Saccharomyces cerevisiae S288C: one gene and its partners. The protein of the gene in region 3 interacts with the protein of the main gene of each other region in a biochemical or structural test. Each region holds a gene or a part of one and is shown on either strand. Other genes may lie near its edges.

Region 1 (9,444 bases), on a different chromosome or scaffold from region 3:
GCTGGTATGTACACATTCTCCTTTTTTTTCATCTTTTTTTCTTTATTTGCCTCTTTCCTCACAAATCTCGAGTAGATTCGTGGTCCTCTTCATTCTTTTCTTTTTTCTTTGTCGATTACTGGGCTTTTTTTCATAGGTCTCGATTGACGCGGACGGACAATGCGAAAAAAAAAAATTTCCAAAAGAGGAAACGGGTTTCGAGATCTCGTGAGGATGGTTTTGGAATATTCTTCAATATTTCTGCCTGTCATAGGATTAGGGCGAGTAATGAAACAGAATAATACATGTATAAATCGATCGGGAATACTAACACTACTTTTCTTTATCTAAGCAGCTAACTCAACTACTTCTATTCCATCTTCATGTAGTATTGGTACTTCTGCCACTGCTACTGCTCAAGCTGATTTGGACAAAATCTCCGGTTGTAGTACCATTGTTGGTAACTTGACCATCACCGGTGACTTGGGTTCCGCTGCTTTGGCTAGTATCCAAGAGATTGATGGTTCCTTGACTATCTTCAACTCCAGTTCTTTATCTTCTTTCTCCGCTGACTCTATCAAGAAAATCACCGGTGATTTGAACATGCAAGAATTGATCATTTTGACCAGTGCTTCTTTCGGTTCTTTGCAAGAAGTAGACTCCATTAACATGGTGACTTTGCCTGCCATTTCTACCTTCTCCACCGATTTACAAAATGCTAACAACATTATTGTTTCTGACACCACTTTGGAAAGTGTCGAAGGTTTCTCCACTTTGAAGAAGGTTAATGTTTTTAACATCAACAACAACAGATATCTAAACTCTTTCCAATCTTCCTTGGAAAGTGTCTCTGACTCTTTACAATTCTCTTCCAACGGTGACAACACTACTTTGGCCTTCGACAATTTGGTCTGGGCTAACAACATCACTTTGAGAGATGTTAACTCTATTTCTTTCGGTAGTTTGCAAACTGTTAACGCTTCCTTAGGTTTCATTAACAACACTTTGCCAAGTTTGAACTTGACCCAATTGAGCAAGGTTGGTCAATCTTTGTCTATCGTCTCCAACGATGAATTATCCAAGGCCGCTTTCAGTAACTTGACTACTGTTGGTGGTGGTTTCATCATTGCTAACAACACACAATTGAAGGTCATTGACGGTTTTAACAAGGTTCAAACTGTTGGTGGTGCCATTGAAGTTACTGGTAACTTCTCAACCTTGGACTTATCTTCTTTGAAGTCTGTTAGAGGTGGTGCTAACTTCGACTCTTCTTCCAGTAACTTCTCCTGTAACGCTTTGAAGAAGTTGCAAAGTAACGGTGCTATTCAAGGTGACTCTTTTGTTTGCAAGAACGGTGCCACATCTACCTCCGTTAAGCTATCCTCTACTTCTACTGAATCATCCAAGAGCTCTGCTACATCTTCCGCTTCTTCTAGTGGTGATGCCTCCAATGCTCAAGCTAACGTTTCAGCTTCCGCTAGCTCTTCTTCCTCTTCTTCTAAGAAGTCTAAGGGTGCTGCTCCAGAACTTGTTCCAGCCACTTCATTCATGGGTGTCGTTGCTGCTGTTGGCGTTGCCTTACTATAAGATTAAAGCAACAATTTGTGTTTCTATTATTACTTTAATTTCTTCTCTAATGATTTCTTTACCATTCCTTTTTTATTATGAGACGGTTGGTTCATCACTGAATTTTATATGTAGATAAAATTTTAGTGTCGTTAATATCTCTTTTATTTCTTATTGTTACTATATTATTACTGTTTTGAAGTTCCAGTTTCATCAACTTTTGCTACCTTAATTAAAAGAACCACTCAGACTTTTTACCATCCTTTAGCTTTACCTAATATAATGAAATTTGTCTAAGTAACATAAAAAAAAGGAGTAAAGAAAAAAAAAAAATAAGTAAATGAAATAAAATATAAAAAAATTCTTACTACGGTTTAAAACAAAGTGCTCTTCCGCTAACGTTTCAAGTTTCTAAAGAATCGTTAGGGCCTTTTAACGGATCGCTTTTTTAAAACAGTAAAACGTTATTTATAGTTATTTATACCAACTATTTCTCGAAATTCGTTTTTAAAATAACTGCCATCTTTACTGCTCTTCTGCTCCTTCCTTTGACATGAAAAAGCAATCAGAAAGAAATAGTCTAATAAATTGTTATTATGTACACATACTCTTATACGTATAAAAAACGGTATAAATTAAGTAGATCATTTTGCGTTGTCTGTTACCTGCCCCCCTTGGCCAATCTCTTGGCTCTCAACTTTTCAGCCATAGTCATTTTCTTTGGACCAGAAGATGGAGTTGGGGTTGCTGGGGTTGCTGGAGTAGCTGGAGTAGCTGGGGAGGACCCACCAGCTGTTCTACCGGCTAGTCTCTGTTCGATGGCTTCTTCCATTTCTCTTTGTTTTTGAGCGATCATATCCAATTTAGCTTTATCTGGAGAAACGGTCGCCTTTGGTAGAGTGCTTGGTGTACTTGGAGGTTCCCTGTTTCCTGCGCGGAAAGAGTATGGAGTTGATTTCTTGGCAGCAGCTTCTTCGATTTCTCTTTGTTTACGGGTAGCCTCAGCGAGTTCTTGAGCACGCTTCTGTCTTTCAGCATTTGCAATTTCTTCCTTACGCCTTGCAATGGCTTCCTCGTAACGACGCTTACGAACTTCTTCAATTCTGGCCTTTTTGGCAGCTTCCAATTCAGCCTTCTTTTGGTTGCGGATGGCAGCTAATTCGCTTTCCTTAGTGCCCGAAACATGCTCCTTGAACTTCAAATAATCATCATAGACCATGACCAAGTTCTTACGATCAGCCATTCTGGCTTCGTATTCGGCCTTGGCGGCGTCGACAATTTTTTTCTTCATAGCTTCATAATTTGCTGTGTCTGTTTCTTGTAGCTTGTCAACTTCTTTTTGCAGCAATGGCAATTCGACCTTTCTCAAAGCTCTTTCCGTATGATCTAACTTCTTCATAGCATATTCCATACGACTTTCCAATTCACTCTTGTTCTTTGATACCTCAGCTATAATAACCTGTTTAATGGTGTCAAGATCTAAGCTTTTAGCTTCGTTAGGGTCAATGTAAACATGTCCCTTAGCATTCACCTCAGTAATCATCTTTGTGATTTCTCTTTCTTTGATAGCTTCAAATTCACGTTTCTTCTTTTCAATTAAGCGACGGTGAGCCTCTTCTTCCAATTTAGCTTCAATAGCAGCTTTTTCTTCCAAAATACGCTGTTGTCTGACCTCAGCATCCTGTTCAGCATGTAGGGCAGCATGTTCCATATGTTTTTGCTTTTGCTCTTGAGATCTCTTGACACGTTCGTCAACAATCTTGGAAATCTTTTCAAGGTCATCCTTGTTCTTCTTAATTAAAGTTTCACGGGCAATTCTAACCTTTTCCATGTATGAAGCATTGTTGAAACTGTCAACATCGTGTAGGACATTGGATAATTCAAGCAACTTGTTGTGGATGTAAGAATTGCGGATAATAACAGGATCAGATTCTTCTTCCTTTTCTTCACCGTCTTCAGTTTCTTGTGGCCCAAGAGCTTCGTCAGTTTCCTCCTTTTCTTCTTGGACTTCTGGCTCTGTGTTTTCTTCTTCAGAGACTTCTTTAGAAGCAGTTGATGCGAAAATGTCAAATGGATCTTTAGCGAATGTAACCTTAGCAGATTCATGATCGATGGTAATTGAAACATAATCTTCCACAGCAGCTTGTAACAGCGATTTTTCGATGTCCCAAGCAGATAAGTCTAACGGAGCAGGTAGGGTAGCGAGCTTGTATAATTCGGACTGGGAGACAGTAGTGAATTTTTGAGAGGCAGCAACAAAAACCCTTCTCATAATGACGTCTCTTAAAGGTGCGATGTATTGGCTGAAGTAGGTTTTAGAAGACAATTTGACTAATAAATTTTCCAGCTGTTGTTTCACTGTGTCGACATCAAAGTTAACTTCAATGATATCGTACAATTCTTTCAATTCCTCGTCAACTTTACCATAAATGGATTCGTCTTCAATAATGGATTGCAACATTTCCTTTCTAGTTGGCTTGGCGTCCAAGTTTAATAAACGGTACATACGTAAATGAGGATCGTAGCCAATAGATGGAATTTCGTCTAGTTGGGTAGAAATAGCGGATAGGAAAATTGTAGAAGAATATGTTTTGAATTCTTCTTCCGTGGCTCTTGGATTGGTAGAATATAACTTATAAAACTTCTTCCAGGCAGTAGTGTGCAACAATGGATCACCGGAAACAAAGAAGACCTTTACGAGATTCTCGTAGTAATTAGCCAAAGTAGATGGTTTAGGAGCACGTTTGGATATTTTCATTAAGTGGAAAACATCCTCAATGGATCTATAAGCCTCGTGCCACAATTCCAACTTGACAGAAACATCGACTTGTTGGAAACGTTGATCTAAATAACGTTGCAAGGTATCAGCATCGCTCAAGTCAACTAAATTGTTTCCTGATTTACTTTGTTGGTAGTTAGCAGCATCTAAATGTTGACGTAACATTTCAGCTAATCTCTTGAATTCGTTTTTACGCTGATACTTCAAACAGAAATGCATAGTTTTTTTAACGACACCAGAATAAGTAATTTCCAACAAAGCGTTGTTTCTCAATAAATCTAAGACTGCACGATATGATTCCCAAGTAAATCTTAACCATGAAGTAATGGCTTCATCATTGAAACCAGCCACAGATTGATCTGACTCGTAAACAGAAATCAGCAAATTTTCTGGGGTAACACCACCTTCCAAATCATCATCGATTTCTTGCTTTTGAAGTTCGTCAGCTCTAGTTTGTTCAGAAGCGATTTTAGATTCGACTAAATCAATGAATTTACGTGCAACGGCACCGACAGAAACCAAACCTTCGGTAGATCCTTGAATTAATTTTTTGTACTGGTGCAAACCGTCTTTTAGCAGCTTACCTTTCTTTAGTTCAACACCAATTTCCAAGAATTTAAACACGACTGGCTCAACAGTTGAAGGTGTAGCCCAACGGATTCTTCTGGCAGTTATGAAATCATGCAAAGATTGTAAAGCAGCTTGTTTTTCGCCAACAGAAATAAGTTCATCGGCTCTCTTAATGGCATTTTCAGGACGGAATGGTGGGGGGGCCATCTTGATGTTTCCTGGGCGTTTGTATGGTTTATTTTGGAACTCTCTCTATAGTTGTAAGTATATCTACTTTCGATTTAGTTCACCAAGAAAAATTTTTCACCTGGCAAAGCTTCTCGGGCAAAGCGACTGAAAAATTATCATCTTTACCCGGTGGGTGATAATTATGACAGGCAGATTCCAATGACAGAATAAAAGGAAAGGATGCCTTGGTTTTGATAATTTTATAAAATTTATCACTAAAATATATACCATAGAGGAAAGAACTTGTTCACTAGATCCTTTCTGATTGGAAGGGATAAAGAATAAAAATACAAGGACATGAAAAATTTGAAATAATTATGCGGATTGGGTCATCAACTCAACAAGCTCGTTCACGGGATCTTCATCGTGCCTTGCGGTTTCAATGTTGGTCAAGGTCTTTTTAATACCGACATTGAAGTTAGGACAGCTCCTTGATAATTCATTAATAACTTTAACTCTACCAGCATCGTCAAGAAAGTTTGATTCTATCATGACGTTGTTCAATTCATCTAAATTGGTCATATTTGGAACTGCTATCTCATTGTCGAAGCAACTCAAGATATCCATTTGTTGAAGTACCGAATAAGCTGATGTAGTAGTCATGATCAATAAACGACGGTCTTGTGGGGGTTTACGCTTCAATGCAACCTTTAGCATTTGTAAAATGTTATTAGAGAATCTTGGACCAATTGGTACCCAATCAACTAGAGTCTCTAACGAATCAATAACAAGAATGTTTAGTGGAGATTTATACGCATCTCTGAAAGTGTTATCAATATAGGCAATTTTTGCGCTTTCTGACATGCCTGACAACTCGTTGGGAGAAATTAACCTGATGAATGGGAATCCAGATTTTAAAGCAATTTCAGCGGCTAAAGCTGTTTTACCGGACCCTGCAGGGCCGTGGATTAATAGAGATACTAACCTGGATTTATCACTCTCGCGAACTTGGCGGACGTAACGGGCTCCGTTCTTCAATATTGAGTTAACTCGTTCGGAATAAAGCATCATTCCACCTTCCACACATGTTTTCAAATCTTCTTCACTAATCCCAAAAGCGGGAGTAACATCGTTGAGTGCATTTAAAAAGTCTTCTCTTGTTACTTTAAGTTTTGCTATATCTTTAGTGTTAAGTTTTGTGGCACCTTTCCCGATGTTGACGGTTTTGTTGATTGCAAAAGAACTTGCACTCTTCACTAAACCCTCAATCTCAGCACCAGAGAAGTTTTTTGTTAACGCAGCTAACTCAGCTAAGTTAACATCGTCGCTCATCATATTATTTTCCCTCATTTTCTTCGTCTGAATGTCGAAAATTTGGAGTCTTCCTTTTTCATCGGGTAAATGAATTTCAACTTGGACTTCAAATCTACCTGGACGCAAAAGAGCACTGTCTATTAAATCTTTACGATTGGTCATACCAATAACCAAAATATTATTCAATTGATCAACACCATCCATTTTAGCTAACAATTGATTAACTACATTGTCCCCTACACCGGTACCATCACCTCTTGAACCTCTCTGCTTGAAAACAGAATCCAGCTCATCGAAAATAATAATATGTAAGGAAGATTCCTCACCCTTGGCCCTATATTCTGCTTCTGCATCCTTAAATAAATTACGAATGTTTTCTTCTGAAGAACCAACGTACTTACTCAAAATTTCTGGACCATTGACGATTTTGGGCTCTTTGGCATTCAGCATTGTACCAATCTTTCTTGCAATTAAGGTCTTACCAGTACCTGGAGGACCGTACAATAGCAAACCTTTAACATGAGAAATACCCAGTTTTTCTATAACTGAAGGAGGAAAGATTCGACTTGCAAACGCTCTTCTGAAAATTTTAGTAAACTCTTTATCCAAACCACCGACACCCAAATCTTCAAACTTGAAATCCGGTCTGATCACAGCATTTGATCTTGGTCTTAATGAATTTGATGATTTCAAATTAACTAAACCATCTCTTCCTTTGAAAAAATTAATTTGTGTTTGTTTTGTCAAAATTCCCTTTGTCTCTATCCCAGTTGCAACAGCGGAGGTTGGTTCAATATCACCCAAATCGATTGCTTGGACATTTCTAATTTTTAAGTCAAAGAAATGGCCTTGGAACTCCATGATAAGGTACTGGGTGGGAGAAAATATTTGAGATTCGTAGCAACGAACAAATTGTTTGGCTAACTCATCTTGATCGAATACCGTGCTTACCGCCTTACCTCTAGCTCTGAATGAGATATCTATATCTATTGAACCAAGATACGATTGCTTACCGGAATACTTGAATAAATCAAATGCTTTTGCTTGCACGTCTTGATTTAGGGACCAACCACCCCAGGTACGCTGGTTACCGTTAAATCCAATGGTTCCCGGTGGAATGTCGTTGGAGTGTCTAGTTGTGAAAACAAATAAATTATCGATAATAATATAAATGTTATTAGGGAAATCATTTGGTGAGACAGCAGCTACGTTTGCGAGTGCATAGGAGTTATTTGGACAGTTTGACACCTTTAAATGGCGTGTACGGGTATCCATGTTTGTCATATCTGGTGGAGTATGATTTGCAGCAGCTTTTCCAAAACCAGGTATCTTGAACATACTCAATTTATAAAGGCTGAATATACGGTACTATTTGCTCTTATCTTTGAGAGAAACAACGGTAGTACTTAAAGGCTACGAATAAGCCAATTTCATGAATCTCGAAATTTGGTACGCCTAACGTATAGTGTGATACCGAATTAACCCATGGGAAATACCTTTTTTTAGTGACGCTACGCTTGTGTAAAGAGAAAAAAATACTAGGTGACATTTTAGAGAGGGTACTGCAGAAGTATAAAGCGTACTCTGAGTATTAAAGTGCATTGAATTGGAATCCTACATCAACTACAAGTAAATAGTACAACCTTTATAAGCAAATGTATTTAATTAAAGATAAAATATTCAACTATTTAGCGCGCTCATTATTGATTAAGGCGAGGAAGGCTCAAGCTAAATGAACTATTGCTGCCCATATTGGTATCATCAAAAGCATCATCCATATCCAAAGGATCTAAAGGTTGAGGCGTTCGCAAAAATAAGGAAGAATCTCCATCATTTTCTGCACCCACTTTGGCGTTTACAGTTGTTGTTGGATCCGCTTTTACGTCGTTTTCCAAGTCTTCTTCTGGAAGTATAAACGCGCTTGCGATCGGTTTCTTTTTGTATGTGGTACTTATCTTACCAGTAGGAGGTAATCTTGCCTTCGTTGCGGTTTTCTTTGAGACAAACTGATCCTCTTCTAGTAAAGCGAAAGAATTGTCTTCTGTGGAAGTCATTGAGGTTTTATCATTTGCAGATGACTTGCTTTGCTTTGCTATATAGGCCTTGGAACGTTCATAATCTTTTTGTAATAGGGGAAGTAGAGTATTCCAGAATGAACCAGCATCCAGCATACCTTTTGTAATTTTCTTATACACAATGCTGTCTGATTCTTCCGGTTGGATCTTTTTGGCCTGCACTTTGGTTTCCCCGTCAACAGTTTGAAACTGAGTAGTCAGTAACTGTAATGGAACAGATGAACTCAAAACTCCAAACTCCTTTTCTAATCCAAGCTCTCTAAAACCAAAGAAGTCTTCACCAGTCAATTCGCTGGCAAAGTCACCTGTAAAAAAGCTTTGGCTCTCGTCTTCAAAGTTTCTCTCGGACAACTCCTGCAAAGTTGGCCTTAATAAGGCTCTCAAAAAGCTTTCTAGTTTCTGTTTGATGTCCTGAAGTTTCTTAGTTTTTTTACCAAATTCAGATTCAACATAGGAAAATAGATCGTCTGGCCTGTTGATACCGTTTTCCAACAGTGTTGTTTGCAGCATTTCCACATTTGTTCCTCTATTTAAGGAGTTAGTTTCATGATGAAGCTTCAAAGTCTTTATCAGATTAGATAGGTAATCCCCGGCGATTTCAGTAAGCATGTTTATTGCTGATGGATGGGCAGTTTCAAACCCATTGGCCATAGCAACCTTAGATATGTTCTTATGCATGAATTTCCATATCAGCTCCCTGTTGTTTTTGTAATCATGCGTTGGAAGCTGTGACACCGGATCAATATCGAGTGAGTCATCAATAATAGTGTAATTATAAATGTGGTTGTTAAGGAAAGCGTTGGGATTGCTTCTGGAGTTTTGAGCCGATAAAGGGCTCTGTAACATTCTGATCAGGGATATTTTATGGCATATGTGCCTAATTTGCTGAATCAGTGTGATATTTTGGTTCATTTTAGGTGTTAGTCCTAAATCCTTGTTAGCCAGAAATCTGCTTTGTTTGTTGATACCATTTTGAAGCATGCGGTCCACGGA
Region 2 (11,763 bases), on a different chromosome or scaffold from region 3:
GAATCATCACCGGCAATGAATAGAGTAGGTAAAAAAAGGAATAGACTTTCTTTTGTTTGCCAAGCTTGTAGAAAAGCAAAGACGAAGTGTGACCAGGAAAAACCTAGATGTGGCAGATGTACTAAACAAAACCTCTTTTGTATATATGATGTCGCCAGACAGGCGGCCCCTAGGAATCCGAATAAGGATGCCACCATAGCGAGACTGAAAAAGGAGATTCGTTACTGGAGAAATAAAACCGTGGATTTGACTCAAGAAAAGAAAGACTTCTACACTGCATTGAAAAGGCCGACTGAAGAATTAGCTGCTAGAAGGACATGTAAAAGCTTGCAGGAAAATAGCTTTCCAATAAGTCTTTATAAGACTCATCCCAGATTGATTATGACCAAAGTGATGAAAAGAGAAATCAACCCTTTATCTGAGAAGTACTTAATATTTCAAGATACCTTTCTGAAGACATTAATTGCCTCCGTGCTTCTAAGTTGTTCCAGAAACTCCATGATTCCTGCTTTAAATGCAGATATTAGTAGGTCGAGGACACAGCCATGCGTAAAGAATAACGTTGTAAAAATGAGAGAGGTTCTATTGAAAAACTCAAAATACGAATCACAAAGAAAATCCATTAACGAGTTTACGGACAGGCTACTACAGAGAAAGAACCCTGAAGAACAGATTGCGGTAAATAAAGTAATTTCTTTATTATACAGTAACAGGGAATCGTCATATTTAGAGGATACATGCCCCACCGAAAACGACTATTCTGATTTGTTGAAAGGCTACATCAATGAAATCGAGAAAACGCTCCCTCCCAAGGCAATCATTGAACAGTACCTCTCTCATTTCTTTGAGCATATTTTCCACCTAATCCCTTTCGCCAGCAAGGAAATGTTGGAGGAATCAATTCACACAACAGTACAGTATAATGAATTAGGAGAGGTACGACTATCGATGGGCACAACCCTTATACGAAATAAAATGGAGAATCTGTGTATCTTACTGTTAATTTTGAGGATCGCGTATATCTCTTTGACATTTATAGAAGATAAGATTGAAGATTACAGTCCGTATATTACCAAAGAGATGCTAGAGCAATATCCGATTCAAAGCGAAGTAATTTTCCTAGCGCAGCAGATACTTGCATCGGAAAATTGGTGTGCTTGTGCAAATGAAAATACCATTTCATGCTTACTCTATATCTGGTGTGCATTTGTTTTTTCCCCAACTGAGGGTGATTTTCTGTTAGAACAACCGTCGGATGTTATAATTAACCTTGTCATACTAATAGGGACGTCTATCGGATTACATCGTGACCCATCTGACTTTCCAGCCTTGAACCACCCCGAAGCTTCAGACAAAAGGCTGCTAAATTTACGAAGGATACAGTGGCTATCAATTATCTCTATGGCAACTCTGGAGTCAAGCCTGAAGGGTAGACTATTGGTCTCACCCCTTTCAATGATTGATCTTTTCATTGACGTTCGGGATCCCAATTGTGTAGAAATCTATAAAAAAAGGGTTAAGAAGGATCTAACAGGTTCCGAATCGGATGAGCAACTGCTCGAAATCCATGAGATTTTTTTCCATAGGGCTCAATTAGCATTATTCTTGTCTGATTTGAATAATATAACCATTTCATACAGTGGTTCGGTTCCAATGGATACACTAGAAACTTTACGCGTTAAAGCCAATGAACTTTTAAAAAACAAATTTCAGCTAAGAAGTGTGGATATTAACATCTACGACGAAGAGAAGACATTTCAAAAACTAACGTTCAATTCAATTTTGAATTCTATAAGTTTATCGGGCCAGATCTTGGGTAAATTAATGATGTTAAGGGCCTCAATAGCGCTGATGTTATATTTTGAAACACTTGCAATGGAGAGAAGCGAATGCTTATCCTTCTTCTATAAGTATTTTTTTCAATGTTGTGCCGACACCATTTCCCTAATCAGATTTTTTTTCCTGTATTTCAATGGCAGTTACGAGAAAGTTCTTTCTTCTTTAGTTTGTTTCATCACTACAAAAGTTATTCAATTGGCTGTTCCTACCACGATGTTTACCCTTTTGGTCATCATCATGCGGGTAGAGCTGGCCAAAAATATGCTTCTGGTCAAATGTAACGAATGCAATGCCAGAGGTGACATTAGTGACCTCCCAGAAATAAAGGAGAAAATAAAGTCATTGGACACTATCAAGGAGAACTTCGAGAGGCTTTTGTTGGAAGTATATTTACTTGCGTCCCAAAACCTGAGATTTAAATATTTCTACATTTTCAAGATGTTGACCTTGTTTGACGTATTCATTCAAAGGCTGAGGAAAGGTCAATTATTTTCTGGTTTGTTTGTCAAAGTAGACAAAGACTTGACTACCAAAAAAATTGCCACAATGTTGGAGTTGACACTTGGAATTAACTTGGACAAGTCTGACCATTTAATTGATAGACTAAAGGGCAAAAATCTCACTGTTAACTTTACCCTTGATCAATTATACCAAATCATCAAAGAATTTGACAGAATAAAAAACATCGGTGTTGCTGACCCACAAAATTCTCTGAATCCATCAAAACCAAACATGAAAGATAATACACCCACAATTGAACTTTTACTCAACTCCAGCGTGGAAAATGAGAGTGTACCACCGTACAGCAGCTCAAATGACCCTACAAATGTTGGTAATGCCTCCACTTATAGCTTAGCACACAATATTAGTAACCAAAATAATGAGGAAAACATGCCTCCGTCAATTGGTTCGAGTGAAAGTAACCGTGCCGCTCCTAATCTAAACTTTATGCCGATAAACAATAACTACAATAACAGTGGTTCGAACATTAATAACAATGACAATGTTAAGTTACCGAGTAATTTTAAAAACTACTATGACCCTCCCATGTCTTCTTTGGACATATCCATGGATGTTCCCGATATTTTTGGTAGCCTTGATTTCTTCGATTATGACCTACTTTTCCAGAACGACTAGGAAGTCTTTTCCAGTTTTCCTGAGATGTATACGGCCACTTCATTGCGCCTAATACGGTAGAGTGTCGACATAGTTATTCTATCAGGTTGTATCATGACAAGAACTTGTGAGCTTTCCGCTTAGATATGGCTCAAATAATATACTGTAAATTATGGTGCCTTTTGATAGCGCATTGAATTGGGACTGGAAATAATGTCAACTATTGCAGAGATAGAAAAGAAATTCAAGACTTTGTTTTGTATTTTATTTAATATATATATTATACATAAGTTAAAAGCGCAGTATATAAGGTAGGTAATATCGCTGCCATCACGGTAGGAACGCCAGTTTATTCCATTTACAATAGGAAGATCTGAAACTAAAACAACGGCCGTGCTTATAAAGCATTACCAGTATGAAAGTCCTAAACAAGAAGGAAGCACCTCCTCCAAAGACGAACCCACCTTAATTATATAACTTTTAATGTCTAGGTTATAAAACATTGACAGCTCAGACGATAGAAAAACATGTGATACGAATCATTTCGCCGTTGTGTGTTTTAAGAAGAAAAATGTTAATGTTAGCAAGACGAAATCACACGTATAAATAAATATAGCAGCACGACCAGCTTGGAAGTTCAAAAAAAAAAAAAAAGTGAAGATAGACAATCATAGGCACAATTTCTGATGGTAGTGAACATATAATGGGCAGACCAAGCTCTAGCAACTTAATGCAGAGAAAGATTTGAAGCTACCGCCGCGTGTTCAGCGTGACTCTCTATAATAGGCCATTTATGTACAAGATCTTCTGCAATCCTATCAAGTATTCGTACTACTATTTTCCCTGCCAATTAGACGTGATGAAAAATATTGCTGGGCTTTGGTTTGAAAACGACTATTTAAATAAATATTACCTTTCCTTTTCTTCAATTGTTTCTCATCTCCTTCGGCCTCCGTTAAGTATATGTTTTTTTACGCGTTGTCAATGACAATACCGCAGGATGCGAATGTGTGACTTCGTAATCATCGGTGTGAAAAATACTCTAACTTTAAACAAAGGTAACATCTAAACTGTCTGGAAATATGCAGCTATTCCCATGTATACACACTAGAAAGAACAGTATTTCCCAGGTCCCAGAAGTTCTCTGTATATGTAGTCCTACCCGTAATTTACCCTTTGAAGAGATAATCTGAGCACTCAGATTTCGACCCTGATGGGGTCACTTTTCTGAATCATTGCTGACATTGCTTCTGAAAAGTGTTGCCTGTGTCTTTATTCCACTTATGAGTTGGTAAGCTTCCTCACAATTTATAATGGGTTCCGATAGCTAAATCACGTTTAACGAAGATTTCGCCGCCCCTCTAAATCGGTGGCAAAAATAAGAAAGTAAGTGGTAATAGTGGCGGTAGAGGGTTTATTTGGTAGTGCAGTTGTAAAGCTTTCAAACACATTCGAGCGTCGCATCATCAAATTAACAAAAGCATAACTCTTCAGCAATGACATCAATTGGTACTGGTTACGATCTTTCCAATAGTGTTTTTTCCCCCGATGGTAGAAATTTCCAAGTAGAGTATGCCGTCAAAGCAGTCGAAAACGGTACCACATCAATCGGTATAAAGTGTAACGACGGTGTAGTCTTTGCAGTGGAAAAGCTCATTACGTCTAAACTGCTGGTCCCACAAAAAAATGTCAAGATTCAAGTCGTAGACCGTCACATCGGTTGCGTTTATTCAGGTTTGATTCCTGATGGTAGGCACCTGGTTAATCGTGGTCGTGAAGAAGCCGCCAGCTTCAAAAAGCTGTATAAAACGCCCATTCCCATTCCTGCATTTGCAGACCGTTTAGGACAATATGTGCAGGCGCACACTTTATACAACAGTGTTAGACCGTTCGGGGTCAGTACCATCTTTGGTGGTGTAGATAAAAATGGTGCTCATCTTTACATGTTGGAACCAAGTGGCTCTTATTGGGGCTACAAGGGGGCTGCCACTGGGAAAGGTAGGCAATCTGCGAAGGCTGAATTGGAAAAATTAGTTGACCATCATCCAGAAGGTCTTTCAGCAAGAGAGGCCGTTAAACAAGCTGCAAAGATTATCTATTTGGCACACGAGGATAACAAGGAAAAGGATTTTGAATTGGAAATAAGTTGGTGTTCACTGTCGGAAACGAATGGTCTGCACAAGTTCGTTAAGGGCGATCTGCTACAGGAAGCTATCGATTTTGCCCAAAAAGAAATTAACGGCGATGATGACGAGGACGAAGATGACAGTGATAACGTCATGTCCAGTGATGATGAAAATGCTCCAGTGGCTACGAATGCAAACGCTACCACTGACCAAGAGGGTGATATTCACCTAGAATAGGTGACATTCTGATAATACGTTAAGAAGAACCAAAGAGTTGAAATAATATGAACTCACGTGTAACGCCGCGAAACAAAAAATACATTTTAGTACCTTCCATTACATTTTACGTAACTAGATAAACTTCTCATTGTGCACCATCTTATCATTATTACTTGATCGCCTAATACTTTTATTCTTCTGACACCTATTACCCTCCTTTCCATATTTTGGATAGCGGGAAACTAATGAAAAATTTTCTTCCACGCACATTGAAAAATATTTACGAATTATATTTCAATAACATCTCAGTACATAGTATAGTATCTCGCAACACACAGCTCAAAAGGTCAAAGATAATTCAAATGACTACCGAGACTTTCGAAGACATTAAGCTAGAGGACATCCCTGTTGACGACATTGATTTTTCCGACCTGGAAGAACAATACAAGGTCACTGAAGAATTCAATTTCGATCAGTACATCGTCGTTAATGGTGCCCCAGTCATCCCATCCGCCAAAGTTCCTGTTTTGAAAAAGGCTTTGACTTCTTTGTTTTCCAAAGCTGGTAAAGTTGTTAACATGGAATTTCCAATTGATGAAGCCACTGGTAAGACGAAAGGTTTTCTCTTCGTGGAATGTGGCTCAATGAACGATGCTAAAAAAATTATCAAGAGTTTCCACGGTAAAAGACTGGATTTAAAACATCGTTTGTTTCTTTATACTATGAAAGATGTTGAAAGATATAATTCTGACGACTTTGACACCGAATTCAGGGAGCCTGATATGCCTACATTCGTTCCATCTAGTTCCTTAAAATCCTGGTTAATGGACGACAAAGTGAGAGATCAGTTTGTATTACAAGATGACGTGAAGACTAGTGTGTTCTGGAACTCTATGTTCAATGAAGAAGATTCTTTGGTGGAATCTAGAGAGAACTGGTCTACCAATTATGTTAGATTCTCCCCAAAGGGTACCTATTTGTTTTCTTACCATCAACAGGGTGTAACTGCATGGGGTGGTCCAAACTTCGATCGTTTGAGAAGATTCTATCATCCAGATGTAAGAAACTCTTCCGTCTCTCCGAATGAAAAGTACCTGGTCACTTTCTCCACGGAACCAATCATTGTAGAAGAAGATAACGAATTCTCTCCATTTACCAAGAAAAATGAGGGTCATCAATTATGCATCTGGGACATTGCTTCTGGTCTGTTGATGGCAACTTTCCCAGTGATAAAGAGCCCATATCTGAAATGGCCTTTAGTTAGATGGTCTTATAATGATAAATATTGTGCTCGTATGGTTGGAGACAGTTTAATAGTTCACGATGCTACTAAAAACTTCATGCCATTAGAAGCTAAGGCTTTGAAGCCTTCTGGTATTAGAGATTTCTCATTTGCTCCAGAAGGTGTTAAATTACAACCATTCAGAAACGGTGACGAGCCTTCTGTTTTATTGGCTTATTGGACTCCTGAGACTAATAATTCCGCTTGTACTGCTACCATTGCTGAAGTTCCTCGCGGTAGAGTGCTAAAAACCGTTAACTTAGTTCAAGTCTCCAACGTAACTCTGCACTGGCAAAACCAAGCTGAGTTCCTGTGCTTCAATGTCGAACGTCACACAAAGTCTGGTAAGACTCAATTCAGTAATCTACAAATTTGTAGGTTGACTGAAAGAGATATACCAGTTGAAAAGGTTGAATTGAAAGATAGTGTCTTTGAATTCGGTTGGGAACCCCACGGAAATAGATTTGTTACAATTTCTGTTCATGAAGTAGCTGATATGAATTATGCTATCCCAGCAAATACAATCAGATTTTACGCTCCAGAAACTAAAGAAAAGACTGACGTAATTAAAAGATGGAGCTTGGTCAAAGAAATTCCAAAAACTTTTGCCAACACTGTTTCTTGGTCTCCAGCGGGTAGATTTGTGGTTGTAGGTGCTTTAGTGGGTCCAAACATGCGTAGATCAGACCTACAATTTTACGATATGGACTATCCAGGTGAAAAGAATATTAATGACAATAATGATGTTTCAGCTTCTTTGAAAGATGTTGCTCATCCTACCTACTCTGCGGCTACTAATATCACTTGGGATCCATCTGGTAGATACGTTACCGCATGGTCAAGTTCTTTGAAACACAAGGTGGAGCATGGTTACAAAATTTTCAATATTGCTGGTAACTTAGTTAAAGAAGACATCATTGCTGGCTTCAAGAACTTTGCCTGGAGACCAAGGCCAGCTTCCATTTTGTCTAACGCCGAAAGGAAAAAGGTTAGGAAAAACTTGAGGGAATGGTCTGCCCAATTCGAAGAGCAAGATGCAATGGAAGCTGACACCGCCATGAGAGATTTGATTCTACACCAACGTGAATTATTGAAGCAATGGACCGAATATAGAGAAAAAATTGGCCAAGAAATGGAAAAATCTATGAATTTCAAAATCTTTGACGTTCAACCAGAAGATGCCAGCGATGACTTTACCACCATCGAAGAGATAGTTGAAGAAGTTTTGGAAGAAACAAAGGAAAAGGTCGAATAAATTTCATGAACTTACGGGCTTGTATGTAAACTAACAACAATATCTAGTATAAGTATGAGAATTAGTCTAATATTCATAAATACTACAATAGGCTCTATTATCTTTGTAATCTGCAGGGGTCGCTCTCCTCGTACAAAATTATAAAAGGGTCCTGCGTCCTTTTCTAGTTGCACTTTTCTTTTTTTGTTCTCCGAGAATTTCTTTTTACTGGGCACAATTTTTCCTCTTTTCTTTTTGTTTTAGGCATTATAAAGAAGAAAAATTGGCTTAGAGAGAATATACTTGCAAATTGAAAACTATAGTCACTGTGAGAGATTGGACTAAAAAGCGCAAATTTGAGATAAAGTGGGATCTTCCTGATATTAGCTGTCGTTACTGGTTTTAGCACGAGTTACCGACTATTTTGCGTTTTTCTTTTAAATTATTTTGTTGTCCCTCTTTATCTTTTGCACTGACGCTTTATTAGCCACTAATTAGAGTATCCAGACATTCTTTTTGAGATCACTACTACTTAATTGAAGAAAACATAACCTATTGATATGTCCACCCTTTTTCTGATTGGAATACACGAGATTGAGAAATCTCAAACAATTGTACAGAATGAACACTATTTTGATAGAGTGATTGAGCTTCAAGATTTGGATTCTCTGATGGTAGCATTGTATAAGGACAGAGTTTCGCCTTTTCCAAACGTCCATAACTTTGAAACGGGCGTATCTATAGTTCTTTATGACCCTTCAAAATTTCAATTATCTGTGCGACAATTGGATGTTCTATTCAAGCGATTTTTCCCATCTTTCAATATTTCTGCGATAGATCATACACGAGAGGAAAACCTGCAACGTCTTGAATGTGTTGAGCGTGAAAATAGCATCTGTCGTAATAGAATAACGAGAATTAACCACTGGATGTATCACCATCATGATGATACTCCAGACGGTATTAACAAAAACAGCTATGGTACTGTAAATGGGAATTCTGTCCCCACTCAAGCATGTGAAGCAAACATTTACACTTTATTATTGCATTTGAATGATTCCAAGGCACAACATTTACGAAAGGCATCAGTGCCAAGGCTAATTCGCAACATCGAGTTTATGTCTTTTTTGTCAGATCCAATAGAAAAAATTTCTCAAGAGGGATCACATTATTGGAACATTCTATCAACTTGGGACTTTTGTGCTTTATCATTAAGCACTCAAGAATTGATTTGGTGCGGGTTCACGCTTATCAAAAAGTTATCTAAGGATGCAAAAGTACTCATTGCAGATAATAAGTTACTGCTACTACTATTTACTTTAGAATCATCCTATCATCAAGTTAACAAATTTCACAATTTTAGGCATGCCATCGATGTCATGCAAGCCACATGGCGATTGTGTACATATCTTCTTAAAGATAATCCTGTACAAACATTACTGTTGTGTATGGCTGCCATAGGTCATGATGTCGGTCATCCTGGGACTAACAATCAACTATTGTGCAACTGTGAATCAGAGGTTGCTCAAAATTTCAAAAATGTCTCTATCTTGGAGAATTTTCACAGGGAATTATTTCAACAATTGCTATCAGAGCATTGGCCTCAATTGCTATCTATCTCCAAAAAAAAATTTGATTTTATTTCCGAGGCTATTCTGGCCACAGATATGGCATTGCATTCTCAGTATGAGGATAGATTAATGCATGAAAACCCAATGAAACAAATCACTTTGATATCTCTAATTATTAAAGCTGCAGACATCTCTAATGTGACGAGAACCTTGTCAATATCAGCACGTTGGGCATACCTCATTACTCTCGAATTTAATGATTGCGCTCTTTTGGAAACATTTCATAAAGCTCACCGCCCAGAACAAGACTGTTTTGGCGATTCATACAAGAATGTTGATTCTCCGAAAGAAGATTTGGAATCAATTCAAAATATTTTGGTGAACGTAACAGACCCTGATGATATTATCAAAGACCATCCGCATATTCCAAACGGTCAAATATTTTTCATTAATACGTTTGCTGAAGTATTTTTCAACGCATTAAGTCAAAAATTCTCAGGATTAAAATTTTTAAGCGATAATGTCAAAATCAATAAAGAATACTGGATGAAACACAAGAAACCACAATAGCAAGAATATCAAAATTTCTTGTACCATTCATTGTATAAACATATAAATATATACATTTACTACTAGTATATTTCCTTTTGTGAAGTATTTGTGCTAAAATTCATTACCCATTTTATTTTTTTTTCAAATATGCGTTCTTCCTTTAATATTGTATAATAATAACCCAGTTGATTATGGCTATTGTCTGTTTTAAGTGATATATATATATATATATAGATACATACATTAAATTTATTTTTCTTTGATTAAATTAATGTTTTTTAGTATAGTGATACATATTTCCCGAGTTAAAAGTTAAGTAAATAGTTTTATGCCATTAAACGGTGCAAAAACAGGTGTAATCTAAAATATTAAACTCCATAAAAGAAAACGTTAAAATTACAAAATAAATGAAATATGTTCCCTGTGTTGGTATATGCAAAGTAAATAAAAATTAAATCTTTATGCAACGTCAAGACAATCAACTTTATTATGCCAGATTTAATAAGCAGATCTATCAATTAAATCACGTTCTTTGTAATCAATAACGATTCCAAAAGCCTTCAACAATTTTCTCCTTGCACCCAAGGCAAGAACGCCTTTTTTTTCTAAAGTCTCGTCATCTAAGTAAATCAATTCGATCCACGGGGTTCCGCTTAAGGCATCTGAATACTTGTGTAGTCTTAACGATTTTAACCACATGGGTATATTTTTTAGTAGCTTGGGGTCTGTCAAACTCTTTGGATTCATCGAAGAGTTACTCGATAAAGGAGTGTTTCCGTTAGATGATGTAGATGTCGATGTGGCACTTGTAGGACCAGCATTAGGATGCGTAATGGTATTATTGAACACGTTCTGGTTGGACTTATTCAAATCAGTTCCTGATGGTCTTGAAGTATTCGAAAAATATGAGGTGGTATTATGCAGAGGATGATGCAATGAATGATGGTGATGAGAATTGTACTCATTTCCCATGTTAGACCTTTTCTTTGGTTGGAAAAAAGAATGGGAACTTGAGAGAGAGTGAGAAAGATAGTTGGGATTCTCTGATGGCAACTTTTTATATTTGGTACTGTTACCGTTGTTGAATTGTTTCTGGACAGGAATGAGATTTGGGCTTGAATTAACATGAGGCTCAGCCGACTTGGACCTTTGACTAGCGTCGGTGATGTTGTCATATATGGGTTGGCTAATTGGTATTGAATGTGGCTGAGGGGACCAATTTTGATACAACAAGTTATCGGTATTTTCAGGGTCATTAGTTATAGGACTTGAAGAAAAGACTGAATCAATATTCAAAATTTGTGTGTCATCCCTATTAGGTATAGGTGATGCAATTGCAGGTAGCGGTGGGGAGATGAAGGGAGTGTTTGTCAAAGTCTCTATTTTTAACTTAGTATATTTCAAAACATCATCATTCAAAATGGAAAGGATATTGTCCATTACAGTATTTTGTTGGCTGCTGTTCAGCATGGATATCCAAGAACATAATTGGTTGATGTCTTGGCTGAAATTGGTGCCCATGTTCGGATCGTTTTTTTGGGATTGAGACTGTTGTTGCGATTGACGGGATTGCGGCAAAGGAATTGAACCACTCTGCGATGGAATACCCAAAATATTATTTGGAGATCTCTGAAATGAATCCAAATACATAGATGTTGAAGATAAAGTAGATTGCAACGCCTTTGGAGATTGCATCATGGGGGAAACGATAGCAGAACCAGCTGCTGTAGACGAAACTGTTTGAATATTAAGGGAAGGCAACGACGCCTGCTGTTGCTGTTGTTGCTGCTGCTGTTGTTGCTGGAGCGGCTGAGCCCTGGTTCC
Region 3 (11,326 bases):
TACATAGAAAATAAATGATTCTTTAGTACGCACCAATACCTGGTAGACCTAATTAGTTTTGTCCTGATATTAAGGTTTCCAGACATTTTAACCGACCGAGGATTCTTAGGTAAATATGCAAAGAATAGGAAATGTTTTGTTGTAATAAAAATATGGCCTTGAACCAACACATCTTTAAGTAGCCATGCAGGGAAATCATTCAAAAATGGTTCCTGTTCGTCTAAACAAAACCGCTGTCTCAACTTAGCCACATTGTCTTTTGACAGTTTTTCCCTAGTTATTGAGAAGTCGAATAAAGTTGGCTTTCTTTTGTCTAATCTTGGTACTTCCGGATGCGATTTAGTTTTGAGATTTTCCTTTTTGCTTTTTACCTCATTTCGACCAATGTTTTCCTGGAAACTATCACTGGAATCAGATTCTTCAGAATCAACTTGCGACAACACATTCATTTCTTGAGCATTATTCATCCCTGCATACACACTAGCAGTAGTTAATAAACCGGCAATACTTTTCATCATATACTTGGATTTCGCCAAGTCATCTGCATTATCGTTATTGTAACCGTTTTCGTCATCATCACTACGGGCTTCATTTGGACTGTCCTGCAGTTCTTGCTGCTCAGACGACCCCATCGATAAACTGCTATTTGATCTTCCTCTCCAGCGCTTGAACTTCGAAAGTGACCTTGAAAGGCGATGATGCCTAGGGGAAGTTTCTGGCTCAGATGGCTTATCAGGTACCAACGAAATGCTTGGTTTTGGCCCCGCCTCGCTATCAGACGCTGATATGATTTGAGTGATGGGCATTCTTTTAAGTTATACGGATTTTCACCAAAGCATAAAGTGCAACTGAACTTCTGATGTTTACTTTTTGACAGCCATGACTTTATCAGTGATAAATGCAATGACTTTCCGATCTACTCCTTCTGTTGACTTTTAGTCCCTTTTTTCTTAGATGTTATGTTACAGTCACATCAGGGTTAAGTTTTTCCAAGTCATCTCAAAACAATGACCTATTTTATTTCTAGATAAACCCTGGTGTAAGCAGGGTTAATTTTGTCCCAAACGGGCAAAATATAAATACCCCTTTCGGGAAATAAACTAAAAAGAGTTCTAATTAGCCAATTGGCAAGAAAGCTCGATGAAGAATCATTATGGGTTTAGAAATCAGATTTCCTTACTTTACAAGTTCTCTCACGCAAGCTTGATCGTTTTTAAATTTTCTACGTTCATTCAAGACAAAGTGGTTACAGATAGAAGTTTTTCTCACATTTAGATTATTTTTTCCTGATAGTATTAAATAACACGTACGATCAACAAATTGTTGCTCAGTTTAAGTGAGCCTAGAGAATTAAGCTTTATTACTGCTGTATTTTCTGTTATTTTGATTGCCTTGGGAATAAAGGAAAGGTTTGGAGGGGCACATCTTCCTAAATAGCAGTAAGGAAAAAGAATCGCGTGTGAAGTCTTTTAAATCAACATAGTTATCCTCGGTTCCAACTATTTTACTTTCGTTTCAATTCCGTTGTTCTTAACTAATCTTCTTTTCTTTTAACTTGTTACAAGCCAGTACTCATTGCAAAATCAAAAAAAAAAAACACAACTAATAAACTAAACAACTAAAAAAATGAATTCTCCAACAATGAAATCGGAACAACTTACTCCAAAACTCTCACCAATGTCCTTTTGTTTGGATGACCAAAGAAATGCAGGCTCTTTTCAAAATCTATTGAACTCACCTACGAAGCTAAAATTAGACACTGGCCCGATTGGTAATTCCTTGTTATATCCAACATCACTCTCTAAATTGAGCGAGTTATCAAGAGGTGGACGTTCTAAACAAAGAAGGGGCTCTGACACTATGAGGTCTGTATCGCCTATTAGGTTTCAGTTTTTGAACAACACTCCAAAGATGTTAAAACCCGAGTACCTATCTCAAACAACCAGTAATCTGCCATTGCTATCTGCCCTATTGAAGAATAGCAAGAAAACTACTAGTGAAGGCCAGAATTCAAACCCTGATCCATTGAACATAGAGAAAAACATCATTAAACAAAGCATCAAGGACAAACTAGAGCAGCTGCGCAGTTCAGAATCCGTTGCGCAAGTACAAAAGAAAGAACGCAATCCCCCTTCATTTGAGGCCAAAGTCTGTGCGGAAGAACCGATATTACGGAAAAACGCCGAAGGGTTGCTCCCCTCATACGTTCCTGTTCCTGCTACTCCTTTGGAAGATCCAGAAAATCATGGGGTGCGAAAGGTCGAGGACAAAGGACTTAGAGTCGTCTCCGGCGGCTCCACTCAGTGTCTAAGCACCGAAGTGAACGAATTGCCTAAGGATCTGAATCTAGACAATTTACCTACGGATAATAACGGGTTCGTTCAATATGGTCTCAAAGGCAATAACAACAACAACAGATATAGCTTTATCTCGTCTACGTCGACGGACTATGAGCCCGAATGGTGTGACGGACAACAACATATTTCAATGCAAATGGCCTCTATGGCCAATGCAGAGGAGGCAAATAGTCGTGAAAAATCGAATTTAGACATAAAGATCAAGCAGCTAGAACTTGAAATTACAGAATTAAAGTTGCAGAATGAAAAATTAGTGCATTCCATGACGACGAACAGATACATTGAAGAAAGATTTATGCTTGAGGTTATGAAGGATCCTAGTATACAGGCTCAAAGATCCCAAAGAGATATTGAGAGAAAAGTCAAGCAACTGGAGAAAAAATTCTTCAATTGTAAAAAAGTTCTTAAGAAATTGACTGAATCCTCCGCAGTAGTGGCCACCTCCACTTCAAAAACTGAAGGAAATTCAGCAAGAATCCCATGCCCTAAGACTAGACTGGCACGCGTTTCTGTTTTAGACCTAAAGAAAATTGAAGAACAGCCAGATTCTTCTTCGGGAACTTCGTCCGAGGAAGATCATCTAACAAACGATGATACGGATGCTAATACTAGCGAAGATTTAAATGTTGCTTTTGAAGAGGAGCCAACTTCTGCTATTTCCACAACAGCATCTGTGCAGAGTGGGGAAAGTAAAAGAGGTTTCCAACTTAACCTTCCTGTCCAAGTGGAGAAGAAGGAAAAATGAAGCGTCAACTTCAAATTAAATTAACTTATTTTACACAAACATTCACAATACATCAATGCTGATAGGCGCTTTGTATTGTAGGCTATCGAGTTACGCATCTGCAATGTGCGTGATTTCTCCGTTATCCATCCTTCTCATTGGACAATTTTTATTTGAATATTACTGAACTTCAAAGGGCTTGTCGTGTGATTTAATCTTTTTTCTTACAACGTCGAATGCTGCAGCTATTTATTCATAGTGTCGTCTAAGCAAATACCCCGCTTTTAAAAGCTGAATAGAAAATCCAATCACGGTGTGACTGGTATCACAAACACATAATTTATATATTGCATTCAAGTTTATTCAACCTATACTTAAATACATTAATTACCAAAAAAAATGATATAATAAAGTCTTCTTTTATCTGATTAATGACACCTTTTTCAGCGGGCCAAATTTTTTTTATTTCCGAAGCCCGCCGGACTAATATTAATTATATCAGATAGTTGGTGAGCAAACGCATGTGGAAATGAACAACAATTTCGAAAGTGCATATACTATCTATAAATATCAAGGGGATTCTATACTATAACAATACCTGCGATGTCATCCACAGCAGTACCACGACCTAAACCTTGGGAGACCAGTGCTTCGTTAGAGGAGCCACAGCGTAATGCTCAGTCTTTAAGTGCGATGATGACCTCGAATCAGCAGGATTCCAGGCCAACTGAAGAAAGCAATAACAGTAATAGTGCAAGTGAGTCTGCTCCCGAAGTTTTGCCGCGGCCTGCGGCACTTAACTCCTCTGGTACCTACGGCGAATCGAATACAATACCGGGAATATACGGTAATAGCAATTATGGGATACCCTATGATAATAATCCGTATAGTATGAACTCTATATACGGAAACAGCATAGGGAGGTATGGCTATGGAGGATCGTACTATGGCAACAATTATGGATCGTTTTATGGAGGAGGGTACGGTGCAGGAGCGGGATATGGAATGAATAATGGAAGTGGACTAGGTGAGTCGACGAAGGCCACCTTTCAGTTAATAGAAAGTTTGATAGGCGCTGTTACTGGATTTGCACAAATGCTGGAATCTACTTATATGGCCACACACAACTCGTTTTTCACCATGATATCCGTCGCAGAACAGTTTGGTAATTTGAAGGAAATGCTAGGTTCATTTTTTGGTATCTTTGCTATAATGAAGTTTCTTAAAAAAATACTCTATCGTGCTACTAAGGGGAGACTAGGAATACCACCAAAGAATTTCGCAGAATCTGAAGGAAGCAAAAATAAACTAATTGAAGATTTTCAAAAGTTTAATGATAGTGGTACCATAAATTCTAATGAGAAAGCCACAAGAAGGAAAATTTCATGGAAACCGCTACTATTTTTTTTGATGGCAGTATTTGGTTTTCCATATCTACTAAACAAATTTATTACTAAACTACAGACCTCTGGAACCATACGAGCATCGCAAGGAAATGGTAGCGAGCCTATTGATCCTTCGAAGTTAGAATTTGCAAGAGCGTTATATGATTTTGTTCCAGAAAACCCAGAGATGGAAGTTGCTTTAAAAAAGGGCGACTTGATGGCAATTTTGAGTAAGAAAGACCCTCTTGGGAGGGATTCTGACTGGTGGAAAGTGAGGACAAAGAACGGCAATATTGGCTACATTCCGTATAACTATATTGAGATCATAAAAAGACGGAAGAAAATTGAGCATGTTGATGATGAAACGCGTACACACTAGTGCATCAATATTTGCACACATATATTCGCATATATATATAGTAAAATCTAAAGTAATGTAAATATTCCAGGGAGAATCAGCAGAAACGAGACGAAGTACTTCTTAACAAAAAGCCAGATAACGGTGCAAAAACACATTATATTCTCCATCTTGAAAACACAATCTCCTACGTACACATATGCGTATTTATTTTTATATGAATGAAACGCCTATGGATATATATATGGGAATATAGACATTCACAATTTCAGGACAATTGTGATATGGCAATATCCAAGGCCTGCGGTGCTGGGCTTCGCTTTTTTTCACCAACAAAATGAGATGGACAAGTTTATCATAGCAAAGAAACAATAAGCAGATTACATAAAGTCGTCATCACCGAATTCAAAATCGTCGGGGCCATCTAGGTCGAAATCTTGATCTTTCTTAAATGCGCCACCCAAATTGGTCTTACCTTTGACTTTCTTCTTACCAGCACCCCCAGTAGCAGTACCACCTCTAACACGGGCCAGACGAGCTTGCCTCTCCTCTCTTTCCTTATCTTTGATCAAAACGTTCAAAGTAGCAACTGTTTGTCTTATAGATTCGATGGACATTGGTTTTGCTACATCTCTAATCAAATCAATCGCTAACGATGAGGAGTAGTTCAGCGGAGATTTTTTGTTCATTGGTGTAATAGCAGCAGTAAGAGCCTTTCTTAAATCCTGGTACTCTCTCTTTGTTTCGGCGTTAAACAAAGGATGTGTTTCGATAGGTGTGTCCTTGGTAAAGGCGGGTCTTTTTAGAGCTTGTTCCTCTTGTTCCTTTTGTAAAGCACGAGCCCTTGGATGTTCTTCGGCAACACCTAAACCCGCAAACAAATCTGCAGCATTGTTTAAGTCAGACTCCATTTCAGCCTTTTTGATTAATTCTTTACGTGTCTTTTCATCCAATGTGTCAATATCCAATAGGGCTCTGTCAGCGGAGGATTCTTTCCCTTTTTTAACCTTTTTTGGTTGTTCTTTTTTTGGCTTTGGGGCAGGCTTCTTTTCTTCCTCTTCTGCATCCCATGATTGCATGACAGGTTCGTCATCACCAATTTCAGCATCCCATGAGTCCATCAAAACGGCGTCATCATTACCCATAGAACCATTGATAGCTTCGTCGTCCCAAGACATTTTTATTACTTTTTTTTTTTTGAGGTGGTGGTTAGGATAGAATAGTTACAAGGAACTCAAAAGATAGTAAGATAATTTAAAGCGAGAGTTCAAGAATGGTGGGAGCAGTCAGTTCTCAATTCTTTAATGTAGTACTTCTGACTTAGCTAGCATGAAAAAAAAATTCGGAAAATGCCCAAAAACAGGTGTGTTCGTCTAATATGATACAGGGACGACCATAATATCAAGATTAGTGACATTTGATGTATAGTTTAGCAGAATGACTGTTATAAATAAATAATTATATATGTGTGTATATTAAATTTTGTTGAACCAGCGCTTATTTACAATTTTTAGGACGTGACCAAATGCGAGCTGCACTAGTTTTCTCAATTTCGCTCGCCCATGGTGATATCTTTAAAGATCTTTAAATGGGAACATCAAAACTGAGGATTTCTCGCCTCTTCGAGTTTTTGGATAACAAATGCCATGCCCATTCTGCTTTTCTTAACGTTTTCGTCAAATTTAGTGCGCGACCAATCCTCTACCTTAGATTTGATACCCATATTGAAGCCACTTGAAAACTTCACCCGGCTGTCTGCTATCGTACTACTTGTAGCACTGTCAAATTGATAGGTAGTATATTCTTCAACCTTCATGATTCCAGTGTGATCCAGATTCCTAGTGTAAGTTTTCATTGTGGAGTTAGCGGGGTTCACTACGGAAACTTCGATTATCCATGTTTCTGTTATACCTCTTAAAAAGGGTTTGACCCATGTGGGCAGCTTTCCGGACTTTTTCAACAGCCTCGTTGTGCGCAAATTTCCTTCTTGATCAACGTTCCTTGATATTGTGTCTATGGATAGTACATGGGGGGAGTATGGATTGGGGTATCTATTAAAAAAGGCGCGTGAAACAGAGGCAAAATCGGTAGGAAATATATGTGTGCTTTTGTGTAAAAGGACCATTGCAACTCTTAAGGATATCTTACCGCCGTCTCAGAAGCCAGACAATACTTATTGAATATGATTACTCATCCATCTGTCATATATATTTTTTTTTTCTAGCTTATTATCCAGGGAGAGCGAGAAATACTGCGGAGTTTTTCACCCGAAAGAAAAAAAATACGCAAGCACGATGATAACAATAGTTATATTATTGGTTACCTACAGTGTATAAAAAGAAAGAGTTTTATTAAAATGCAGAACTATGTGGTGGTATACAGAACTGATTATACATTCTATAACAAAAGGGCACCAACGGCGAATGCACCCGCACCATAAGCTATGTGAGTGCCGGCAAAGGCGCCATTGGTAGAATTGGACATTACGGACGCTACCTTACCGTTGACTGTAGACTTGTATGTAGTGGTCAGTGTCTCTACTGTAGAACCTGACGTAGTGGTATAAGTTGATTTGATAGTGCTTACTACCTTGGTGCTTGATTCCGGTTTTGATGAGGATCCCGAAGATGATTTACTTGATGAAGCCGTGTTGTCAGTTGTGGCTGAGGACGGTAGCCACCAAACAGTAGATGTGTAAGTCTCACCTAACGAATTCGTGGTAGTTACTATAGTAACTGGCCCGTCCGTTGATGTTGATGTCGTTGAGGAGGATGCGGAGTTGGTGATTCCGCTTGACGTCTCTCCGGTGGGCTGCACAGAGGCAGTTGAAGTTGTGCTTACGGCAGAGTTGCTTTCGGCCACCCACCATAGGTACTGTGTCGTGGTTTTGCCTTGTGCATCCGTCGTCACTACGGTGGTACTTGGAGCCACAGCATAGGTGTTGCTGACGACGTTGCTAGTTTGTACTAAGCTTTTTCCGGTAGAAACTACAGTTGATGCGCTTTCTTGGGCTTCCTTTGTCGTGGTAGGTGTGATCTCTTGAGAGTTTGAGCTTTCCTTTTGTGAGCTATCTTCAGAGTTCTGGCCATCTAAGGAACCAGAGTCTTTTTGAGCAGCGGCTAGAGTAATTAAGGTGGTAAATAATATGGAACAGGCCTTCATTTTATATATATGTTGGGTTTGTTTATATTTTCACTAGATCGGTGAGTATCTAGTCCAGAAGAGTTGATCTTTCTTACATACTTATATATGCTCACTACCGCCTTCTGAGAAAGTAGGCGTTTTTCAGCTACCTCAGTCGCTAAAAATAAATGCGAGTTCTCAAGCCAACTTGGACTCCAAGGCGGTAATTATAGTGATTCTCTTTGTCTATTTTTGGATTTATTTTGGAGGCTGACACTCTAAAGCCAGCCATTGGATTAATTATTTTTTCACTTCGTCAATTGACTATGCGGAAAAACTAAATGTGGTCAAATTCTGTCGGCTATGTACACGAAAACTATATACGCCTCGTCCTTTCAGCCACTACAACATAACAACACCGACATTGCTACGCCTTTTAATGTCGTTACTATTGTCGGGATTCAAGCCACCGGTAATCGGCTTTGCTCTATAATTAAATAAATAGAAGTTCAAGAACCCGTCACCGGGCCCGAACTTCAAATCATCCAAGAACAATGTATTATCTTGCGAAGTCAACGCGTTAAAAACATCCATATTAGCGTTTTTGGCCAAAATACAAGCGTCATAAATCAATTCACACAATCTTGTTTTCAAAGCCTTAGTAGCTTTTGGATCAAACCTGTCTTTGAATTGGAAATCTGCATCGGTGGCATAATAATACAAGTACCCGATGCCTAGGTCCTTATATTTTGTGTTATTTAGGATTGTGAATGGCAATGAGTAAAATGAGAAGAAGTCTGTAATTTTTCCATCGGGCTGTTCGACTACATATGAGAAAATTACTTGTTTATCCAATGGTAACGATTCTTCACCAATGAAATTATGTTCGAATTCTTCTTTTGTGAAAATTTGAATTAGTTCGAACCTGGATTGATATCTTTTGAACAACTCAAAAACTTGGTCAATATCTTCCTTCTTTAATTTTCTCAATCCCGCTGTCTTTGTTTTGGCCGGTAACGCATTCTCAGCAATCATATCCTCCTCTGTGTGCCCATCTGGTAACCCTGTGAAATCTACTTCATAAAGTTTCTTCCAATTCAAGGGACGATGAGTATAACGACACGTACTCACAGGTGCTGGCAAAACAATACCTGCCGTGTACAATGCATGCCAGATGTCACATTTGTTCACTCGTCTCGTAATTTCTTTAATTAGAACAGGTGTTAATCTCTTCGATCTTAGCTGTTTGTGAACGCACAAGAAATTGATTTCTACACTAGGCACTTGTTTACCTCTAACACCAAGTGTTACTGGTATGGCTGAGATAAAGGCAACTAATTTCTGTGTTTCTTTAACGCGAACACCAATATGCCAATCCTTCTTCCAACCTGGACTCTTTAAAGCCCAATTGAAGAATTCTTTGGTATAGTTAAATCTGAAGCCTGCATCGCGGTCTTCCACGTAGTTTTCATTTAGTAGAACGAAAACATCTTCAAGCTGTTTTTTGTTGTCCACATCAATACTACACCATTCGAAGCTAGACAATAAAGGTAGTGGCTTGTCAGATATATCTTCCGGTGTCTTTGGCTTATCAATGGGGCCTTCTTCCACCACCTTTTCATCGAAATCTTTGACCGGTTGCGTTCTCCAGAATTTGTGGTCTTTCATAGCTTTTTTCTGTTCTTGAGTGAATTTTGAAGTATCGTCATTATTCAACTGTAATAACTTCAATAAATTCTCTAATTTTTTCGCTTTATCCTCTTCTGACATTCTATAAATACGTTTACTACCGAAGCTCTATGACAACCAGAGCTATTGTACAGATCATTCTCTAAAAAGCGTGCAACACATATCATCTTCAATTATAGTGAATTACTTTTATCATGAGCAACGGCTGAAATTATTTTATCCTATTGTTTTATGACAGTATCCTTTCAAAAGAGTCGAAAGGATCCTCTGTTGCAAGAACTACTATTACGTAATTATACATAGTCCGCCTGCAATTTCTAGTGAGACTTTGCTTTGCTTTCCACTTTGCGATTAATATTGAGAATTTTAAACGTTAACTGAATTCTTACCCACCCATAATAAGAACTCTAACTGGCGAATTTATCATGAAACAAATCTGCAAGAATAAAAAATTAGAGAATCGTGCAATTCAATTTAATTGCCTTGTCCGTTGTAAAACTTTTCCATAGGCCCTACCTTGAGTTGATCATATGTATTATTCTATATATATTATATCCAGTCGGGTAATAAATTTTCTCGCCCTCGAAAAAAAGAAGTGAAAAATTTGTCTCGATGAGCTGAGATGAGTTTGAAAGAAGCAAAGAGTTTTAATTTGTAAACGATAGCAAGTGTACCCTCAGTTGAGTCTATTACGCCTTCCTTATTTGGAAACTTAGAAGACGAATAAAAAAAACAAAATAACTAATGATTTCTGCTACTAATTGGGTTCCAAGAGGGTTTTCCTCGGAATTTCCTGAAAAGTATGTTCTGGATGATGAGGAAGTGGAAAGAATTAACCAATTAGCACAGTTGAATTTGGATGATGCTAAAGCTACTTTGGAAGAAGCAGAAGGCGAATCAGGTGTTGAAGATGACGCCGCAACAGGTAGTTCTAATAAGTTGAAGGATCAGTTGGATATAGATGATGATTTGAAAGAATATAACCTGGAAGAATATGACGATGAGGAAATTGCAGATAATGAGGGTGGTAAAGACGTTTCCATGTTCCCGGGTTTAAGTAATGATAGCGATGTTAAATTCCATGAGGGTGAAAAAGGTGAAGATCCATATATTTCATTGCCTAATCAAGAGGATAGTCAAGAGGAGAAGCAGGAGTTACAAGTTTACCCATCCGATAATTTAGTTCTTGCTGCGAGAACAGAAGATGACGTTTCGTATTTGGATATCTACGTTTACGATGACGGTGCTGGGTTCCACAGTAGCGATATTCCCGTTGAAGAAGGTGATGAAGCTGACCCAGATGTTGCTCGTGGATTGGTTCGTGACCCTGCACTTTACGTTCACCATGATTTAATGTTGCCTGCTTTTCCACTATGTGTTGAGTGGCTTGACTACAAGGTTGGATCCAATTCCGAAGAAGCAGCCAATTATGCTGCCATTGGTACGTTTGATCCACAAATTGAAATTTGGAACTTGGACTGTGTTGACAAGGCCTTTCCCGATATGATTCTGGGTGAACCTCTTGATAATTCAATGGTGTCTTTGAAAAGCAAAAAGAAGAAGAAGAAGTCTAAGACTGGACACATTACTACTCATCATACCGATGCTGTTTTATCCATGGCACACAACAAATATTTCCGTTCCGTTTTAGCATCCACCTCTGCAGATCATACCGTAAAACTATGGGATT

Evidence for each region.
Region 1: the proteins of HCR1 (region 3) and RPG1 form a complex in vitro, tested with the Saccharomyces cerevisiae proteins (one study listed by BioGRID).
Region 2: the proteins of HCR1 (region 3) and PRT1 form a complex in vitro, tested with the Saccharomyces cerevisiae proteins (3 studies listed by BioGRID, with this or other methods).

The regions. Positions count from the first base shown.
Region 1 is NC_001134.8:393,177-402,620, forward strand, and holds RPG1 (translation initiation factor eIF3 core subunit a), read right to left. Parts: upstream 5,102-9,444; coding exon 2,207-5,101; downstream 1-2,206. Other genes in the region: ECM33 (Ecm33p), read left to right, coding at 1-4, 335-1,566; AAA family ATPase SEC18, read right to left, coding at 5,438-7,714; SAGA histone acetyltransferase complex subunit SPT7, read right to left, coding at 8,077-9,444.
Region 2 is NC_001147.6:1,011,435-1,023,197, reverse strand, and holds PRT1 (translation initiation factor eIF3 core subunit b), read left to right. Parts: upstream 1-5,545; coding exon 5,546-7,837; downstream 7,838-11,763. Other genes in the region: oleate-activated transcription factor PIP2, read left to right, coding at 1-2,976; PRE10 (proteasome core particle subunit alpha 7), read left to right, coding at 4,452-5,318; 3',5'-cyclic-nucleotide phosphodiesterase PDE2, read left to right, coding at 8,377-9,957; VTS1 (Vts1p), read right to left, coding at 10,438-11,763. UniProt on the Saccharomyces cerevisiae protein: RNA-binding component of the eukaryotic translation initiation factor 3 (eIF-3) complex, which is involved in protein synthesis of a specialized repertoire of mRNAs and, together with other initiation factors, stimulates binding of mRNA and methionyl-tRNAi to the 40S ribosome.
Region 3 is NC_001144.5:533,588-544,913, forward strand, and holds HCR1 (translation initiation factor eIF3 core subunit j), read right to left. Parts: upstream 6,003-11,326; coding exon 5,205-6,002; downstream 1-5,204. Other genes in the region: ATG26 (sterol 3-beta-glucosyltransferase), read right to left, coding at 1-806; MMR1 (Mmr1p), read left to right, coding at 1,627-3,102; peroxin PEX13, read left to right, coding at 3,685-4,845; UPS1 (Ups1p), read right to left, coding at 6,422-6,949; NCW2 (Ncw2p), read right to left, coding at 7,222-7,986; glycylpeptide N-tetradecanoyltransferase NMT1, read right to left, coding at 8,350-9,717; rRNA-processing protein PWP1, read left to right, coding at 10,381-11,326. UniProt on the Saccharomyces cerevisiae protein: Component of the eukaryotic translation initiation factor 3 (eIF-3) complex, which is involved in protein synthesis of a specialized repertoire of mRNAs and, together with other initiation factors, stimulates binding of mRNA and methionyl-tRNAi to the 40S ribosome.